2 linked regions of the Bombyx mori genome follow. The protein of the gene in region 2 purifies or fractionates together with the protein of the main gene of each other region. This does not show direct contact. Links are inferred from orthologs where the notes say so. Each region holds a gene or a part of one and is shown on either strand. Other genes may lie near its edges.

What was found.
Region 1: the proteins of Dnmt1 (region 2) and metastasis-associated protein MTA3 purify together in Homo sapiens (affinity purification with western blotting; 4 studies listed by BioGRID and IntAct, with this or other methods). This does not show direct contact. The link is inferred for Bombyx mori from reciprocal best matches to the Homo sapiens genes DNMT1 and MTA1.

What each region holds. Positions count from the first base shown.
Region 1 is NC_085131.1:3,871,277-3,875,120, reverse strand, and holds part of metastasis-associated protein MTA3, read right to left. Parts: intron 3,499-3,844; coding exon 3,385-3,498; intron 1,601-3,384; coding exon 1,443-1,600; intron 584-1,442; coding exon 477-583; intron 1-476. UniProt on the Homo sapiens protein: Transcriptional coregulator which can act as both a transcriptional corepressor and coactivator. Acts as a component of the histone deacetylase NuRD complex which participates in the remodeling of chromatin.
Region 2 is NC_085114.1:6,735,200-6,739,043, reverse strand, and holds part of Dnmt1 (DNA cytosine-5 methyltransferase), read left to right. Parts: intron 1-645; coding exon 646-859; intron 860-955; coding exon 956-3,844. UniProt on the Homo sapiens protein: Methylates CpG residues. Preferentially methylates hemimethylated DNA. Associates with DNA replication sites in S phase maintaining the methylation pattern in the newly synthesized strand, that is essential for epigenetic inheritance.

The sequences.
Region 1 (3,844 bases), on a different chromosome or scaffold from region 2:
GTAACCACTTAACACCAGGTGGGCTGTGAACTCGTCCACCCATCTAAGCAATAAATAAAAAAAACCAGTACAGGAGGGGTGGGATTAGCTAACAGCCACCCGAGCGCCTCCGAAGGAGACCTTACAACTCAATAGCAATTGCTTCGCGAATGAATCTACTACCGCTGAGAAGGTCCTGCGACAAACTCAGCGGCGCCACTCGCGTCTCACGTCTTAGGTACATTCTTAGTAAAATGTAACATTGCCATGTAACATTGAGTCGAAACTTTGACTAAATAAATGAGGATGGATTTTTAGGTCTGAAACTTAAAAGAGCTTCTATTTCTTTCAATTACCATTATTTTACCTCTAATACCTTTACTTGGCAGCATTTTACGTTCGTTTTTGTTAGAGTCGTATATGACATAATGTCGATTCTCACGGTACCTATAGGCTCGGTGAGCACGTACAACGGTTAAACATTAGAAAGCACTCACTTGGCCGCATCGGTGGCTCTGAAGTATAGGTCGTCGGGAGCGTCCATCCACGAGATCACGTGTCGGCGGCCGCCGCGTCCTGTGATGTTTGTCGGTTTGCCATTTACCTAACACGTACATTTATTATTAACTCAAATCTATCTTTTTATTTATTATTAAATTTTTTTTTATTAATATTAAAAGCGGTTGTTATAAGTTACAGGACAATCTTCTAGAAAACAAGGTCAACATAATTCAAATCTAATATGTTTTTCTATATTCTAAATTATTAATTGAAATCGTTAATTTAGGCATGCTAAATTAGTAACTCGCGAATAATAAAACAAATTGTATATTGGGATGAATCGTTACTATCTGGTACAAAAAGTTCAGTCGATTAGTGCATTTTTCTCGTACCTATTCGCTGGTAGCTTAAGAGCCTATTCCAGCTACGCTCCAGGTGAGCTCAAGGCGCTCAATCTGAGGGGCCTTGCTAACACTAGCCTTAGCGAACTTTTTGGCGGGAACGCGAGGAGTGAAGTTGTGTGATTTGTTTTATTTTGTCTATTTAGTGTTTCTTCAGGTTTAAATGTGTAATAACGGTGGTTTATTAACTGTTTGATATCTGTGCACAAATGTGGGAAAATGAAACAAAGCTGCTGGACGTAACTTCTCGGGATCCTCCAAAAAGTCCACTGAAAAATCTCAGTAAAATACCACTATTTTACTGAGATTATATTTCATCCCCTGTCATTTCGTTTTATTTAATTTCATCCCAGTTCATTAATCTCCCAAATTAATCATTTTCATTTCATTTCATTTCACTCCATATTATCATTTTTAATAAAATTAAGAATATAAATTAAAATAAGACATGACTTAAAGGTCTTAGTTACCAGGTCATAAAATTCCTTATAAAATATATACTAGGGCTAGCAAGAGCAGTGGTTCGCATGAGTAGGAGTGAGGAGAGTGAGCGGTACGTACGTGCGCGAAGACGTGCGGCGGCAGCGGCTGTCCGGTGGCCTGCGCGCGCGCGCACATGGCGGCGTACTGCTCGCGCGAGGGCCGCTGCATGGGCGCCGGGTGCTTGTTGGGGCGCTTGGCGGGCGGCGCCAGCGTCTCGCGCGACCGCTCGCCCACTCCTGCGACAACCGCATCATACATATATGTACAATTGTAACAAGAACAATGGAAAACATTCAACTGTCGAAGGTACAGTACGAACATTCAACGGTAGGTGAAGTCCATGGGTGACGGTAACCATTCAGGTGGGCCGTATGCTCGGCTGCCTACAGGGACAATAAAAAAATAAAAAATATAAATTTAACAAATCACACATCGTTGTTGCAAATTTGAAATCTCCTATGTGACATTCTGGGCCAGAATGATCTTTTGAGATTTTGACTTTACGAAATGGAAGGTTTTTGAAAGGACTTTTCCTATGGTTTCCGAAACAATTAAAGCTCAAGGGTATTGTGATTCCTTAGCTATGCAGTCACATAACGTTTTGATAGTTTTGTTTCCTAGTGTTGGGGAGTGATACTCCGCCCCGCTTAAGCCTACAATGCAGTAAAAGTAATAGTAATAAGCTATACACGTCAGTGGTTAACGGGCAGCGATCCGACGCGGTCGCTGATGCGAATAACATAAACATACTCAGTGTTTTATTGACCACTGTGACGAGATTTCCGGAGGACAACTCGACCAACGCACACAAACCCTCACAACACCAAAGACCTCACACTACATTTTCCATAAACTTATGAAATTCATAACATTTACTTTTTCCCCACATTTATTTATTTTTATAATTCTCATTTACTAACCTGGTGTTGTTGCTGTTTCCGTAAAGGTAAGCATTTAACAAATTATACATTTATTACTCATTGTTCTAAATACAATATTATCTATTTAATTAAAAGCTTAATTAACTTGCGAAAATATTAAATCTTTTTTTATATGATATAATTCGTTGGTCGTTTGAATATAAGTTAACACGTTGACTGCCATGTAGGTCATTGGTGCCCTACGCGGCGCACTGAAGTAATTATATCGAATTCTGTTACTAAGTTCTACTAAGTTCTTTTGTTTGTTAATGTATGTTTTAGTCTTTTAAGTCTCTTAGAAATAGAGAATTCATTCTGAGTATCTACCGGTTTTTTTTTCAGTATACTATATATTCCGTGTATTAGTAAGGTGATCGAAGAGAGAAATCGATATAATCGATAAACCATGAGCTTCCCTCCACGGTGTCTCCCGAGCGCTATGACATATCCTTCTTCAAACGAGGCTTGTGGAGAGAGTACTTAACGGTAGGCACCCCTGGCAATGCTGAATTCCATGGGCGACGGTAACCACTCACCATCAGATGGGCCGTATGGTTGTCTGCCTACAAGGGCAATCTATACTAATATTATAAAGAGGAAAGATTTGTTTGTTTGTATTGAGTAGGCTTCGAAACTACTGAATCGATTTGAAAAATTTTTTCACTGTTTGGAAGCTAAACTATTCCCGAGTGACATAGGCTATAGTATTTTTTGAAAGAAAAAAAATGGATCCTTACTAAAACTCCAATAATGTTACCCAAGGTGTAAAAATATTACCTAAAATGTTCCATCGCGTGCCCTGCGAAAACTATTGATGTACTACGACTTTGTAGAAAACATTATTATTTACAAAAAAGTGTCGCGACTGCATATGTCTAACTATTAGTTACTAGTTATGCCGCAATAAGTGTTATTTTATTTTTAAGAATAAAACAACGTCAAATATCGTTGAAATTTTTGTTAAAGATCAGAGCGGAGCCGGAGCGAGCCGCTTGTAAAAAAAAATTACTTCAATGCGCCGCGTAGGGCACCGATGACCTACACGGCAGTCAACGTGTTTTATGCGGGTGGTAAGTGATCGAGTGCGGGGCGGTACTGACTGTCGAGTCCGTTGATGTCGTCGTAGGCGCGGCGCTTGAGCGGCGGCGCGGGCTCGGCCCGGCGCGCCTCCAGCTCGCCGCGGGACAGCACGCGCTCGTACAGCAGGCTGCCGTCTGTAACGCACACGCACGCGTCACGACCTCACTTCTAAACTACTTTAGACTCTAGACTACCTTTTATTAGATTTTATATGACGTAAACGTAAATCTCACTAACCGATTTTATAAATTACTACTGAAACTTTGCTTAGGTAAATATGATACAATGTCGTGCGTTGAAGGCACTATGACACAGATCTTCCAAAGAGCCAACGACTACAAAAAAAAATCAATTTAATCATAAAAAACATTTCATTAATAATCATTTGAATTTGGCAAATAGTACCACGGTTTTTCGTAGTGATTCTTAAATTCTTTGAGGAAAGGTGTTATTTATTCATTAAGTAACGCAGCGTATCCA
Region 2 (3,844 bases):
TGGGTGCAAAGAATTTGTAGGAACTTTTCTTCCAGCAAATCTTCATTATCACGTTCAATATTTCCCATTCATTGTTTCTTTGGTGGTATACTTTTAGAATTACTTGTATTGTATATATTGTCTTCCACAATATCTTTCATTACTTTAAAATCACAAAAATCATGCTAATAGCATTGGGCTCCACTGCAGAGTTACAGAACAAATGACAGTTATCTCTGTAGAGGAGCTACTAGGGAGAAAAATCTAGATATGCAGTAGCTGTCTAAATTTTAATTTTTTTATTGCTTAGATGCGTGGTCGAGCTCACAGCCCACCTGGTGTTAAGTGGTTACTGGAGCCCATAGACATCCACAACGTAAATGCGCCACCCACCTTGAGATATAAGTTCTAAGGTCTCAAGTATAGTTACGACGGCTGCCCCACCCTTCAAACCGAAACGCATTACTGCTTCACGGCAGAAATGGGCAGGGGGTGGTACCCACCCGCGCGGACTCACAAGAGGTCCTACCACCAGTAATTACGCAAATTATAATTTTGCGGGTTTCATTTTCATTACACGATGTTATTCCTTCACCGTGGAAGTCAATCGTGAACATTTGTTATATTATATTGTAATTTAATTATATTGTAATGTACTTATTCAAGGGGAAGATGGAGACATAATGGAACGACCCCAAACAAATATAACTGGCTTTACAATATTTGATGAGCAAGGACATTTGTGTCCAATTGATGGTGGTTTGGTAGAAAACGATGTTCGAATTTATATGTCTGGATATTTAAAGTCAATTTGCTCTGATTCATCAGAGATTGACGAAGAATCCATTCCAGTTAAAGATGTAGGTCCTATAATAGAATGGTATGTATCTCACTTATCATGACCACATAAAAAAAATCTTTTTGTTTGTTTGTTATTTTTTGTGAATTATTAATCTTCTAATTTACATACCATCAGGTTCATACATGGTTTCGATGGTGGAGATAGGAACTGTATAACTTTATCAACGGAATTTGGGGAATATAACTTGCTCAAACCTAGTGAAGCTTATACGCCCCTAATGAATAATTTATATGAAAAAATATGGCTTAGCAAAGTAGTCGTCGAATTCTTAGAAGAATATCACTACTTGCAACCGAGCTATGAAGATTTACTTGAAGTTGTAAGAGATTTTTCCATTCCTGAACTAAATAATAAAAAGATGACAGAAGAAATGCTACATAAACATGCCCAGTTTGTTTGTGATCAAGTAGTTAGCTTAGAAATAGAGGAAGATGATGAACCATTAATAACATTACCTTGTATGAGAGAACTTATCAAATTAATGGGCATAAAATTCGGTAAACGAAAAATACGTACCCAGATACAATACAAAAAAACAGATAAGAAAGCATGGACAAAAGCTACAACAACTCCACTTGTAAGAAAAACATTTGAAAGTTTTTTCTCAAATCAGTTAGACAAAACCAATCACGAACTGGTCTTACGAAGAAAACGATGCGGGGTTTGTGAAGCCTGTCAATTGCCTGATTGCGGCGAATGTAATGCATGTCGTGCCATGGCTAAATTCGGTGGTCATGGAAGAACTAAGAAAGCATGCGTCCGTAGATTATGTCCTAATATGGCAGTAGAACAGGCAGAAGATTCTGATCCCGATGATGAAGATGAGTATCAGCAAATATCTGAGAAAAAACAAGACAAAATAGATGATGCAGTACCAGTCAAGCTCACTGGGTCAAATAGTAAAAATTTAAAATGGATTGGTGAGCCTGTTAAAGCTGATGCCACAAAAATATATTACGAAAAAGTTGAAATTGATGGTGCTGAGCTGTGTAATGGTGACTTTGTCATGATTGAAACTTCCCAAACAAACATTCCTACACTGGTCGCTAAAGTTGTATACATGTGGAAAGAAATCCATAACCCGAAATCAGGCTATTTTCACGGAGAAGTCTTCATACGAGCCTCGGACACAGTTTTAGGAGAAGTGAGTGACCCAAGAGAAGTATTTTTGGGCGACAGATGTTGCCATGGTGCTCCGCTTTCTTCCATATTAAGAAAAGCGAATATAGAAAGGAAAGAGACGTCAGCAGATTGGTTTAAACTTGGCGGGAAAGAAGTAGACGACGAACATTTCGAGGATGATGGAAGAACTTATTTTTATAGCAAGTATTACGACAGGTTCACGTCGCGTTTTGAAGATTTACCTCCAGATCCAGCGTGTCCAAATGCTTTAAGAAAGCACAGATTCTGCCCATCTTGTGAACGTAAAACAAAACGAGATGCAAGAAACATTCCTAAAGTTTTTGAAAAATTGATTGTGAAATCCGAAATTGTTTCAGAACAAAACAGGTCGGAATGGTCATATGTAAAATGGCAAGACTTTGACTATAAGAAGGGTTGTGGTGTTTTCCTAAAACCGGGAACCTTTAAACTAAAAAATAGTATGACAAAAGCGAACACTGTTGCCAAACCGCGGTTTGAAAAAGTCGATGAAACTATTTATCCTGAATATTATAGGAAGAACGATTCTAATACGCGTGGGTCTAATATTGATACCGGGGAACCTTTTTGTGTGGGTTACATAGCTGCCGTCACTGCCGCGAGTGAGGGACCTCTAGTTGTACCGCAAGATATTTACCTGAAAGTGAATGTGCTGCTTAGACCTGAAAACACGAGCAGTAAATTTCCGCAGCACGAGGACACTAATGTTTTATATTGGACAACTGAAATAAGGGAGATTCCATTTTCGACCGTCGTTGGGCATTGTCATTTAATTTATGAACAAAATGTTCCCCAAAATATTTCACTTCAAGAATGGTTAGGAAATGATCCGTGCAGATTCTACTTCAGAATGGCGTATTGTAAGTCCACGGGAGAGTTCACGGATCTCCCGCAGAATGCCATCAGTGTTGGAAGAACAGATCGTACTAAAGATAAAGGGAAGGGGAAGGGAAAATCTACAAAAACTATTGAAACGGTTCCCGCTAAAGTTGTAGAGGAGAAAATTAGACCGTTGCGAACTTTAGACGTGTTTGCCGGTTGTGGGGGCCTATCAGAAGGCTTGCATCAAGCTGGAGTTGCAGAATGCAAGTGGGCTATTGAAAACGTGGAAGCTGCTTCTCATGCTTATTCATTAAATAATAAAAGTTGTATTGTATTTAATGAAGACTGTAATGCACTTTTGAAAACTGTAATGTCTGGTGCTAAGCACAGCGCGAATGGACTGCGGCTCCCCATGCAAGGAGAAGTGGAGCTTTTATGTGGCGGGCCACCATGTCAAGGCTTCTCCGGAATGAATCGTTTTAATTCAAGAGAGTATTCAAACTTCAAAAACTCATTAGTTGCATCGTATTTATCGTTTTGTGATTATTACAGACCTAAATATTTTATACTGGAAAACGTTCGTAACTTTGTGGCCTTTAAAAAAGGTATGGTTTTGAAACTCACTCTGCGAGCTTTGTTGGACATGGGATACCAGTGTACCTTTGGTATCTTACAAGCGGGTAACTACGGAGTTCCCCAAACTAGACGAAGGTTGATCATATTGGCGGCAGCGCCGGGTTACAATCTTCCGTTCTACCCAGAACCCACGCACGTCTTCAGTAGACGTGCTTGTACATTAACAACGACGATTGACGGCAAAAGGTTCTCGACTAATATTCACTGGGACGAGTCGGCTCCAAAAAGAACGTGCACCATTCAAGACGCCATGAGTGATTTGCCTCAAATATGTAATGGTGCTAATAAAATAGAAATCGAATATGGCTCCATGCCAGAAAGTCATTTCCAGAGATTAGTGCGAAGCAACGATGAGAATTCTAAACTACGAGATCACATCTGTAA